Linked DNA regions of Neurospora crassa OR74A. The protein of the gene in region 3 interacts with the protein of the main gene of each other region in a pairwise test. Links are inferred from orthologs where the notes say so. Each region holds a gene or a part of one and is shown on either strand. Other genes may lie near its edges.

The links. The genes of interacting proteins can lie anywhere in the genome.
Region 1: the proteins of NCU01342 (region 3) and NCU07442 interact in a protein complementation assay, tested with the Saccharomyces cerevisiae proteins (2 studies listed by BioGRID). The link is inferred for Neurospora crassa OR74A from reciprocal best matches to the Saccharomyces cerevisiae genes ERV25 and MSC7.
Region 2: the proteins of NCU01342 (region 3) and gpip-2 interact in a protein complementation assay, tested with the Saccharomyces cerevisiae proteins (2 studies listed by BioGRID). The link is inferred for Neurospora crassa OR74A from reciprocal best matches to the Saccharomyces cerevisiae genes ERV25 and MCD4.

The regions. Positions count from the first base shown.
Region 1 is NC_026501.1:614,542-618,513, forward strand, and holds NCU07442 (betaine aldehyde dehydrogenase), read left to right. Parts: upstream 1-1,172; 5' UTR 1,173-1,342; coding exon 1,343-1,404; intron 1,405-1,487; coding exon 1,488-2,236; intron 2,237-2,304; coding exon 2,305-3,314; 3' UTR 3,315-3,669; downstream 3,670-3,972.
Region 2 is NC_026504.1:3,862,102-3,866,169, reverse strand, and holds the start of gpip-2 (GPI ethanolamine phosphate transferase 1), read right to left. Parts: upstream 2,801-4,068; 5' UTR 2,600-2,800; coding exon 2,422-2,599; intron 2,357-2,421; coding exon 613-2,356; intron 558-612; coding exon 313-557; intron 252-312; coding exon 1-251. Other genes in the region: NCU07998 (hypothetical protein), read left to right, coding at 3,434-3,487, 3,573-3,628, 3,681-4,068. UniProt on the Saccharomyces cerevisiae protein: Ethanolamine phosphate transferase involved in glycosylphosphatidylinositol-anchor biosynthesis. Transfers ethanolamine phosphate to the first alpha-1,4-linked mannose of the glycosylphosphatidylinositol precursor of GPI-anchor.
Region 3 is NC_026505.1:3,710,344-3,713,832, forward strand, and holds NCU01342 (endoplasmic reticulum vesicle protein 25), read left to right. Parts: upstream 1-1,387; 5' UTR 1,388-1,524; coding exon 1,525-1,728; intron 1,729-1,826; coding exon 1,827-1,950; intron 1,951-2,036; coding exon 2,037-2,340; intron 2,341-2,398; coding exon 2,399-2,417; 3' UTR 2,418-2,989; downstream 2,990-3,489. Other genes in the region: NCU01341 (U1 small nuclear ribonucleoprotein C), read right to left, coding at 189-721, 793-900, 957-966; NCU01343 (TPR repeat protein), read left to right, coding at 3,169-3,412.

The DNA of each region.
Region 1 (3,972 bases), on a different chromosome or scaffold from region 3:
TGGGACGAAGTTCGAAGCGAAGGGAACGGGAGGATTAGGGCAGGGAATGGAAGGAAAGGACATGATTTCATGGCCTGCACACATGACTTTTTTGGCTGGATAGTGGTGTTGTTGTTGTAGCTGCATGCTGTGTGCGAAGGATCACACACGGCTTTGGGGAGGGATGGTGGGGGTTTTCATCTATTTCCGTCTTGTTTTTTCTCAGGGTTTTGAAGGCTGCTGTTACTGCTACGTTCTTATACCTGCTGCTGCGATAGTATGTACTGCTGCTTTTTTTTTGGTCCTGTTTCTTTGCGGCCGTCGAATCAACAAATCTACACTACTTGTTGTTTGGTCTTTTTTGGTTATGGCTGCTTTGTTTCTTGTCACATATCATCACCACAGTACTAGAAAAGGCCGGGTCGAGTTAAGGAGATGAAGAGAATGGAGCAAGAAAGCAAGCAAGCAAGCCAAGCGAGCGAGTGAAGAGAGTATAGTATGGTGAGAAAGAAATAAGAGCAAGCCAAGTGAAGTACAACTCAAATCTGCAAAAGTAAAAAGTGTATATTATCTAATGATTCATTAACACCATGCGCACCGTTTTGATAACTACTTTTTGGGTCTTTGGATTCATGAATGGCTCTGTTGAAAGCAAAAGCAAGCGACATACCAGTGGGATGGGATGGTTGTGTGGTGATGAATGAATGCGTGGACTCGCACACTTCAGAAGGATATATGTGTTTGGTGCAGGATTAACTTGCTATTCGTGCTCGTGAGTTTAGGTTTATACAGTATATGTGCTCAACTTCGAAAAGGTTCCAGATCATTTTGTATAGCAGCTCTACCGTAAAATAAAGTAGATATAGACGAAAAGAACCCACGGGAAGGAATCCGCAATGCTTGCACGGTGTTGATAGGTATTGCTTTATATTCCTGGATTTCTTGAACAAGACAAGAACATCATTCCGTGTGTAGTTCAACAAGCTTTCCAGATTTCCCTGTCACATCATAAATGAGACTAGCCTTGGCCCTCGATTGTTTACTCGTCCTGTATGACTACTCCTTCTGAGTTACGTCGAGAAAAGGGGTCGGGGAAAAGAGAACCCTTGTGGCTGGCACTCACAAGCATTGCCTGCCGGGTGGCACCATATATGTGGGGTGTGCCTGCATCAGCTCACGAACACGCGCTTGACGGAACAGCTCCCCCAATAAGTAGCTTACCCCTGGAACTTTTCTTTTTCTCGACTATTTGAGCTTCTCCTACGCTAGACAATTACCGTTGCAAGACTTGTTGAGGCATAGCCCTGCTGTCAAGTTCTTGGGTGGTCTGCCCTTGGCTTCTCCAAGCTCACTCAGCGCAACAATGGCGGCGGAGATACCTAGGAGTCTGCTCGTGCAGCTCCGGACCGCTTTGGAGGATACACCGTACGTGCATAATACACTCTGCCTTTTCCCTCCTACACCTTTCCGGTACGCTCATAACCTTACTGACAAGCCCACCACAACAGGGTAGTAGGAAGCTACATTCCCGAATCATCATGGGCTCTCGTCTGGTCAGCCCTCGCCGCGCTGGCCGTCTGGTACATGGCGAGCCGCGAAGACCAGCCGATCCGCTACACGATTCCTCCCGCCAACTTCCCCAAGGAGGAGAACATCCTTGAAAACCCCTCGATCAAAGCCTCGGGTACCTCAGCGATCCAATGCTACGCCCCTGCCACCGGCCAATTCCTCGGCTTCGTCAACCCCTCGACCCCCGAAGGCATCGACCGCGCTATCGACCAAGCCCACGCCGCCCAGGTCGAATGGGCCAAGACCACCTTCCGCCAGCGCCGCGCCGTCCTCCGGTCACTGCTTCAATACGTGCTCGACAACCAGGAGGAGATCTGCAGGGTGGCCTGTCTCGACAGCGGCAAGACCATGGTAGACGCTCAGCTGGGCGAGATCCTCGTTACGGCCGAGAAGCTGCAGTGGACTATCAAGCATGGCGAGAAGGCGCTGCGCCCGGAGTCGAGGCCTACGAACCTGTTGATGGCGTATAAGAGGAACACGGTGCACTACGAGCCGCTGGGCGTGGTTGCTGCGCTGGTGAGCTGGAACTACCCGTTTCACAACTTGATCGGACCGGTGATTAGCGCGCTGTTTGCGGGCAACGGTATTGTAGTCAAGGTATCGGAGCAGACGGCTTGGAGCTCGCAGTGGTTTACGAGTGTGATCAGGGGCGCGTTGGTTGCGCATGGTCATAATCCTGCGCTTGTTCGTACGTATCACTGGTCTCTTGTTCCTACAGCTTACCTTGGCCCTTGCTAACAAACCTGTTCCGCACAGAAACCGTAGTCTGCTGGCCCCAAACGGCCAACCACATCACCTCTCATCCCAAAATCAGCCACATCACTTTCATCGGCTCCCAGCCCGTCTGCAAGAAAGTCGCCGAATCGGCTTCCAAGGCCCTCATTCCCGTTCTCGCCGAGCTCGGCGGCAAAGACGCCTCCATCATCCTCGCCTCGGCCCCCAAGTCCGACCTCCCTCGCATCGTCAACACGCTCATGCGCGGCACGTTCCAAGCCTCCGGGCAGAACTGCATCGGCATCGAGCGCATCGTCGTCGCCCCCCAACACTACGACACCCTCCTCTCCATGCTCACCCCGCGCGTGCGCGCTCTTCGTCTGGGTCCCACCGCTGATGTGGGCGCCATGATCTCGGATAACGCTTTTGCTCGTCTCGAAGGACTGGTCGCTGACGCCGTTAAACAAGGCGCTAGACTCCTGGCCGGCGGCAAGCGGTACGCACACCCTGAATACCCAAGCGGTCATTACTTCGTGCCTACCCTTCTCGTAGACGTTACGCCGGACATGGCTATCGCGCAAGAAGAGTGCTTCGGGCCCATTATGGTGGTGATGCGCGCCGCTTCGTCCTCGGCAGAAGACATCCTCGCCGTAGCCAACGCGCCCGACTTTGGCTTGGGCAGCTCCGTGTTCGGATCGGAATGGGATTCCACGCTGCACGAGGTGGTCAGGGGGTTGAAGGCGGGTATGGTAGCCGTCAACGATTTCGGAGCTACGTATGCGGTGCAGCTTCCCTTTGGAGGCGTGGCGGGGTCGGGATATGGAAGGTTTGCGGGCGAGGAAGGACTGCGGGGGTTGTGTAATATCAAGGCGGTTTGTGAGGATCGGTTTGGTTGGCTGGGTGTGAGGACGGCGATACCGCGGCCGATGCAGTATCCGGTTCCTGATCAGGAGCGGAGCTGGAGGTTTGCAAGGGGCGTGGTGGAGGTTGGGTATGGGATGGGCTTGGGGAGGAAGGTGGGTGGGGTGGTGGGGATTTTGAGTAATAGCTAGGATCGGATGTCGATATGTTGGAGGTGGAAGGGCAGACGTTGGTGATGCTATACTTGGATTATCTCTAGACGGGAGTGGTTCCGCTGCGGACAACAGACAACGGGTCAACGGCCCGGTATATGCATATACCGTAGATCTTCTTCCCGTTGGGATGAAGAGAAGAGGATGATACGGTAGTCAATAATACCTAATGCATAAGACGAGCCAAGAATAACATTGGCAGTATGATGTGATGTTGGAATCCATGGAACTGGACCCTGAATTGCGTTGATGAGTCATGGTGTCAGTCAGTTTCAGATATCAAGACAAGAAGACCCTTGAATAATCAATGGAAATATTGACATCACATCATATGGCTACCCATGTCTCCATGTGTTAGGTAGTATACACTACACTACAAAAAAAGAAAAGAATGAATGAAAGAGTACAGTACCTAGGTATCCGCCCTTGAAGGCCCCAACGTCTGTCTCCAGCAAAAAGGCTCCAGTTAAAAGCTTGTTTATCAGTTTATTCCCCGCGGAATGAAGGGATTCTTGGCCATGCGGGATGATTGATTGATGACGGACTAATGTTTTCTTGTCTATTGGATGTCTTCCGAATTCAGAATCGCCCGACTGAATCCACCGATATCTTCTACTAGATAGTGTACACAACATAG
Region 2 (4,068 bases), on a different chromosome or scaffold from region 3:
TTCCGTGGTTGTTGTTGGCTTCTTGGTGGCGGCGGTCTGTGGTGCCTTGGAGGAGGTGAACTTCTGCACTGCGTGTTCGAGGCGAACCCAGCTCACGAGAAGAGCGGAGAAGACGAGGTAGAAGAGGCCCTCGTAGGAGATGGTGAGGATGACAAATGTCGGAGCGCAGGTGAGGAAGATGACGAGGATCCGGTGCATGTAGTGGTTGTTGGGCCGCAAACGGTAGGCCAAGGGCATGAGTAGTGATGCGACTATTGTTGAGCTTGGGTTAGAGAAGAGTCACCAGCTGCGGCAGGCATTGCGAGGACTTACCAAGAGTAACCCAACCCATAATTTGATTGCCGCGAGGCAGGCCTTGCTTGGCCTGCAGCGAAAGGGCACTGGAGCGAGTGATGATGATAGATAGTACAGTGAGGCCCACTTGAATACCGACGAGTGACCTGGAGAGGTGGTTCCTGGAAGTAGGCTTCGCGTTCCATGAGAAGTCCGCGAGGACAAAGTCCTCGAAGATAAGGTAAAGAAGGCCGATGACGACCATCAATACGCCTCCGATAGTACTACGCACCAATTAGTGAGTGGGAGAAACAACAATTAAGGGGTAGGTATACGAACATGAGATTGACGTTCTCTGCCTTCATCGCCGGGAGGAGCGTGAACGTGCTCATGGCGATACAGGCGAGGAACCAGGTGGCAGACAGCGCCCCATGCTTCTTGAGGAACGACAGGCCGTGGGTGAAAGGCCAGAAGGAACCCAGCACGAAGAGAACGGAAAGAATCTCGCGGTGGATGTAGCCCAGGGCAAGCGATTCAATGACGCCAACATAAAGCGCGCTGTTGAGCACGAATGAAGCCACACTTCCACCTGAGTTGATATGGCCAAGCAACTCCTTGCGACCTGCCGCCAGACTTTCGCGATGCGCATAAACTTCCTCCCAGAAAAAGACCGGGAAGAAGGCATAGACATAGTAAGTGAGGGGTGACTTTGAAATGACGAGGGACGCATAAAGAGCAACGAGAACCGATGTGAAGAACAAGCCCCCGCCAAGCGTTCTCGACGGTCGCACACGACCATGTAGGACGTGCAAATCAACGACTGTTGTAAGAGCATAGGCGATCCAGCCAAGATAACCGATGGTGATGAGCGCTCTCAGGAACAGCCAGTCGTAGGTCTGGAGATATCTCAAGCCACCGAGACCGACCTTCATAAGGGCAGCTGATTCTTCGATAGCTTCCTCATACCGACCAGCGTCAATGAGCTGGCGAATCTCGGCAACACGACGTTCTGGGGACAGGCCGTTTTCTCCGAATGGCTGATACGGCCTATACTTCAACTCGGTGGCTTTCTTCTTTTCCTCCTTCACCCGGTATTGCTCCAAAATACCCTGCACGTTCACCAGCGAAGCCTCAGCCTTTTCCTTGATGTCGGCAGCAAGGTAAGACAGGGGGAGTTCGCCGACCGAGTTGGCAGGAAACTCAACGCCAACAAGGTAGGACATGAGAGCAGCAACATCAGCCTGAGCGACATCATGCCTCCTAACGTGGTCCAAGTTCCAGTCTGCAGAGTACTCATCATGGCCGGGCGCCACTTCGCCTGGGTACAACTGAGGCTTGGCAACCCCTGAACCCCAAACAATCAGGGGGGTCCGTGTGTTGTCTGGGTGACCATCACCATGGCTTCCCCAGTCGCTCATGCCGTGGTCCGCGGTAAATACAAACGCAGTCCTACCATCGCGGTAGAAGTCGCGGAAGAGCTCAGCAACCTCCTTCACGCCCTGATCCACAATCTTGATGTTGTTGAGGTACTCCTTCGAGTAAGGGCGGTATGAATGACCAGTAGTATCCAAACCTAGCAGATGCAGAAAGAAGACAATCTTGTCTTGGCGAAGCGCCTCAGCAAGCGTCTTGTTCCTGCGGGCCTCAGCAAAGAAATCCTTTACATGGTCAAAGACCCAGAGGTCGAGCTGGGTGGCGTCGGATGAGAAATCCTCGAACTCGTGTCCGTACGTGTAGGCGTCAACCCTCCCCGGGACAGCTCCCTGCTCGAACATTGGTAGAATATCCGGGCTGCCCCAGCTCCACGTATGCCGACTGCGGTTGAACAAGCTGTCAAAGTTGACCGGGTTCAATTTCCATCCTGTCGTAACGGCTGACACATCTTCGTACAGACCGGCGATGAGGGCAACATGACCGGGTCGAGATTCGGTCGGCACACGCGTATGGGAGACACCAAAGGTTCCCTGTTCCAAGATCTTTGATCGCAGATAGGGGGCGAGAGGTCTCGGAGTCAGATCGGCATCGGATTTGGGATATGGTTCAGGGTGGGACTGAAGGGCCTTGTCGGCGCGCAAGCCGTCTCCTGGAAGAATGAAACCGTGGTTAGCGCTTGGCCGCAACACATTAGGCTCGGAGTAGCCCACTTACCTACGAACAGAACCAGCCGGTCCGCTGGCGCACTGCGATTTGGGGGTCGTTGAACATTAAATAGGCGCATGCCAGTCTCAATGGGACTGACAAAATAGATGTCGAAGATGGAAAAGATATAGGCGAAGTGAAAGATGACGGCGATGGCCAGAAACCTGAACCGTGGAAAGGCCGCCATGATGAAGTCGATTTGAGGCCAAAAATGGCCGTTCAAGGATGGACGTATGCGTAAATTGTACAATTACTATATCGAGCTCTGTTGTATATGCGAATCGTGGATATTAAGTCGGGCGCATCATGGCGCAGCAGTTGGATGTCGACAAAGTTAGGGGGGGGGGGGGGGCTTCGTTCAATGGTATGCCCTGGACGCGAAGCAGAGCTTGGGAGTTTAACACAGCTGGTTGAAGCGAAGGAAAAGGGTCACAGAGGCCCTCAAGGCACTTGGAAGAAGATCAACCAAAGCTCAGCTGCCAAAAATAGAAGAAGAAAAAAAGTCAAGGGACTGTGTAAAGCTCGAGGTTCCAGTTGCGATTCATGGTGCCAATGCCACCACGACGGGGGGAGCTGTTCAGGCTAGGCGTTGAGCCAGTGAGGTACCTGCACCGCATGGCAGCCCCGGAATACTGAAACTCGTGGCCCGTCAGGGTGCACGCCAACTGTCAGGCAGCCTGTCAAGAGTGTCTGTCGGTCAGTTTCGGCTACTTGGTAGGTACCTACAGTAGTGCTTTGGGTGCTCCTTCCCCTGCGGAGAGACGGGAACCAGGCACCCAGGGGCCCCGCACGGGCGCCACTCGAGAAACCAACCAAAGCCGCTAAACGTGACTTCGCGGGGAGCGCTGGCTTGCCTGCCGGGCAAATTCACGTCGACGACGCGCCTCACACATCAATCATTTATCGGCTTTAGTTTGCTCTTTTGATAACTTCCACCTTGACTCCATCGACTTTGATTAGCCCAAGCTATCACTGCTAACGAAGGTAGTGTCTTCAGATCAATAAACGTTTTGTTCTCGCCATGGAGGATTACAAGACGTACTTGGCCGAGAATATCCTCAGTGAGGACAAGGTGGTAGGTCACCCACCCGATTACAACTGGTTGATGGCATTGAAGCTCAAAGGTGCAGAGCCGCGACTAACATGAGACCAAACTTCAGGTCACCTATCGCTTGCTGAGTCGGGCCCTGCGTGTACATCCAAATGTAGCGAAACAGTAAGTTAACGAGCGGAAGATTCAAGAATCAGCAATGACTTACACCAAACAGAATGCTCTATGATTTCCACAAGACCCAGAGCAGCAAGAAGCCCGGGACTGTCTATGCCACTTACATGCTATACGGTATCAAGAAGTCTGTCCAGAATCAAAATGGCAACGCCATGGACATCGACTTGCCTTCTTCGCTTCCCGACGCGGACCCGGTTGATGACGAAGAAGTGCCCTCATACACTCTCGTACTGGTCCAGGAGGAGCGGTTAGCAGACGTCCTCAAAGAGTACGAGACAATAACATCGATACATGTTTACAGCGTCGGACCTCACCCAGCCAAGGATCTTACGCTGCTTGTTGATGCCGCTCAAAGTGCGCTAGCCATCAAGGATGATGCTAAGAAACCACAGCCCCGTCCCATCGTCAACTCTCACGTACGCCGAAGA
Region 3 (3,489 bases):
TAACGCCTTCAGCGCCGCCGTAGAATCTTGGTATCGTGTTCCGAGAAAATGAAACCCAATTGTAAACACCAATTGAATGAAATCCGAAACTGAAAGCTGTGAATATTATGCTCGTTTTGGCGGCCTGACCCAGGTTGCTATGTTGTCGTGCCCTTTCTCAAGCTACTCTCATCGTACACCAAACTACTTCACCTCTTGTCGGCACCCGGAGGCCCTTGACCAGGGGCGCCAAAAGGTGGCATACCGGGGAACGCACCTGGCGCACCGGGAGGGGGGAAGGGAAAGTTTCCTGCTCCAGGTGGGGGGAAGGGTAGACCTCCTGGGGGCGGGAATGGCAGACCACCAGGACCGGGCATCGGAGGCGGTACGCCAGGTATACCAGCAGGAGCGCCAGGCATACCAGGAAATGGGGGCATTGGAGGCATTCCGCGAGCTCCTGGCGCTCCAGGAGGAGGAATACCGCCGGGCACGCCTGGGGCACCAAAGGCTCCGGGAGGGGGCACCGGCGCGCCACCGGGCATGCCTGGGAACGGAGGAGGCATGCCGCCAGGGAAAGGCGGGAAGGGGGGAACGCCGGCGCCCGGGGGCGGGAAGCCGAGGCCGGGAGGGACTCCGCCGGGTTGGTTCTGCGGGAGCATAGGATTGGCGTGGGCTTGGCCTTCGGCGGCGTACGAGGAGGTAATCGAATCGATAACGGATTGGGCCTTCTCGTGACCAATCTCTGTAAAACAAAATCGCATTAGTTATGCGGTGAAGTCGGAAATGGTGGATTGGGGGCTTATTGTGCCGTACGTTGGTAGTAGTCAACAACGTTTCGTAAATGGTTACGACCGCTGTTGTGCGCCTTGCGGACGCTCATGGAATCGTGCGTGAGGTACACATCGCAGTAGTCGCAAAAGACTGTACAAGATGTCGTCAGCATCGAGTTGAAGATGAGCGGTCCAAGCAGTACTCACATTTTGGCATTTTGGTAGATTGTGATCGCGAAACCTTTCAAGACGGGGTTATTCGAAATCTCTGTGGCTGCCCTCGGAGAAAGTCGCAAGTTGGATGGCAACAATGATACGGCGCGCGACAACGACGAAGACAAAAGAAGGTTTGCAAGGCTGAAGTGCACTGGACACACACAATGGGACGCGATGACCAAAGCGGGACCAGGTTGGTCCTCGAGGTGCTTGGCAATAGTGGATCCTCTAAGGCTTCCCCAAAAAAGAGCTCCCCTGATCGGTTCGCGGCTGCTGATTGGCACAACAAGGGCACTCCTGCTGTCAAGCCGTTGTGGACATGCTCCAGACCTGTCTCAGCTGTCCTTAAGTTGCCTGCCCAAAGAGAAGCCGCCAGATTTCCCCTAGATCCAAGTCGCGGAGCTATTCCCATTAATACAGACAGCCCACCTTCCGCGATACGATCAGGTCACGCACTGCATAGCTTCGCCGGACTGTGTTGACAACTCGACGACACTTTCAAACTTTTTTTGTCCCGGCCGCCGTCCCACGTTCTAGATCATCCTATCAATCAGCGATCATGGCATCCCTAAAGTCGCTGCTGAGCGGCTTCCTGCTGCTCGCCGGTGCCGCCCAAGCTCTCAAGTTCGACCTTGAGGCTACCTCTTCACACCACAGCAACCAGCGACGATGCATACGGAACTTTGTCAACAAGGACACATTGGTGGTTGTAACGGCTACGCTTGACGGATACAAGGGCGATGGCATGAACGTCAACATGCACGTAGGTGCTCTCCCTCCTGGGTGCAAGTTAAAGGGGCTAGGGGATGGATTATGGGGCGGTCAATTACATGGACGAGTCTGACTTTGGACGCGACACAGATCTCCGATAGCCACGGAAACGAGTACGGCAAGGCCAAGGATATTGCTGGCGAGCAGCGCATCGTCTTCACCTCGCATCACGACGCAGCCTTCGACGTGTGCTTCGAGAACTACCTTACTGGTTGTACGTACATTCCTTGGCCATGACGAAAATTAGCAAAACAACCAGCAAAAGCTCGGATGGGAAACTGACAAGATTGCGATGATCAGCCAAGTATGTCGAGAACCCCCGCCGCCACGTCGAGCTCGATATCGACATTGGTGCCGATGCCAAGGACTGGTCCGCCATCCAGGCCACCGAGAAGCTTAAGCCACTTGAAACCGATCTGCGCCGCATCGAGGAGCTGGTCGGCGAGGTTGTTAACGAAATGGATTACTTGCGCGCTCGTGAGCAGAAGCTCCGTGATACCAATGAGAGCACCAACAACCGTGTTAAGTGGTTTGGCATGGCCACCACTTTCCTCCTCATTGCTCTCTGGGGGTGGCAGATTATGTACCTCAGGGCGTACTTCAGGTTCGTTTTCCCATCTAGCGGAGCAAATGGGTTCAGTTACTAACATAAATCTGCTTAGATCTAAGCATCTTATTTAATGGGCTGGGCGCAACCTACGATGACGACCCACAACTACCACTGTCCAAACTACCTTATTTATTATACGGCTTCATGGTAACGACGGGCGGGAGGTTTTATGAACTCTTTACTACACGCAACGCAGGCGAGCGAATGGCATACAATAGGTTGGAGATTTCTGGTGTAACTATATACGGTAATGTGTTTCAACCAAAAAGTTATGGAGTAAAAAGGAGAATTGACTGCATGCTGAGTGAGCCGTCTACTTTTGGAAGTTCAAGACTATTTGAGAGCGAAAATCTGCCCGGTGCATACCAAGAGAAGTCGCATCCAAAAGGCGTTATGGGCGTCGTGGGCGTTGTTGTGGTGATGAGTCGAAACATGAGCAATTGGCGATAGAGGCACTGGAGACGGTGGCGATGTCATGGATTGACAACGGAGATGCGGAGGGATGAACCGGAACCGGCAACAATTTTTCGGCCTCGGCCCCCATTGTATGATCACTTGCCAAGCCCGCCGAACTAGTGTAAGGGACGGGGTATTGTAGCGTCTGTAATCGGCCCCGAACGGAATCCTACAACAATTCCCATCACTTCGACATCCTCATTTATAAGCCGGAGCAGTTACCTAGTTCGCGCAACGGCACCCTCTCCACACTATCCGCTTCATCCGAGCGATTTACACACCTAACCTTGGCCGTCGCTCTATTTCGGCTACAACAATCCGTCTTCAGTCAGTTCGCCAAAAGCACCTAGACAAATCGTCGCAACAATGGCTTCCTCTCTTCGCGCCCTCCGGCCCGCGGCCGCCACCTTTGCGCGCGCTGCCGCTGTGCGCCCCGCCTCCGTCGCCAGCAGACACGTCATTGCCTTTTCGCGATCGGCCAGCAACGACAGCACAGATAACCAGCAAAAGAAGGACCTCGACGTCGGCGAACTGCAAGGCGCCACCTTCAAGATCGAGCCGCTCCGGAGAGTCGGCGAGGACCCCGCCACCATGCGGGCGCGTCTCCTTTGTACGTTTTATCTCTCCCTTCGCTAATCCTTATCTTCATCACCTACATGTAAACCCAACGAACTAACTCCCCTTCCT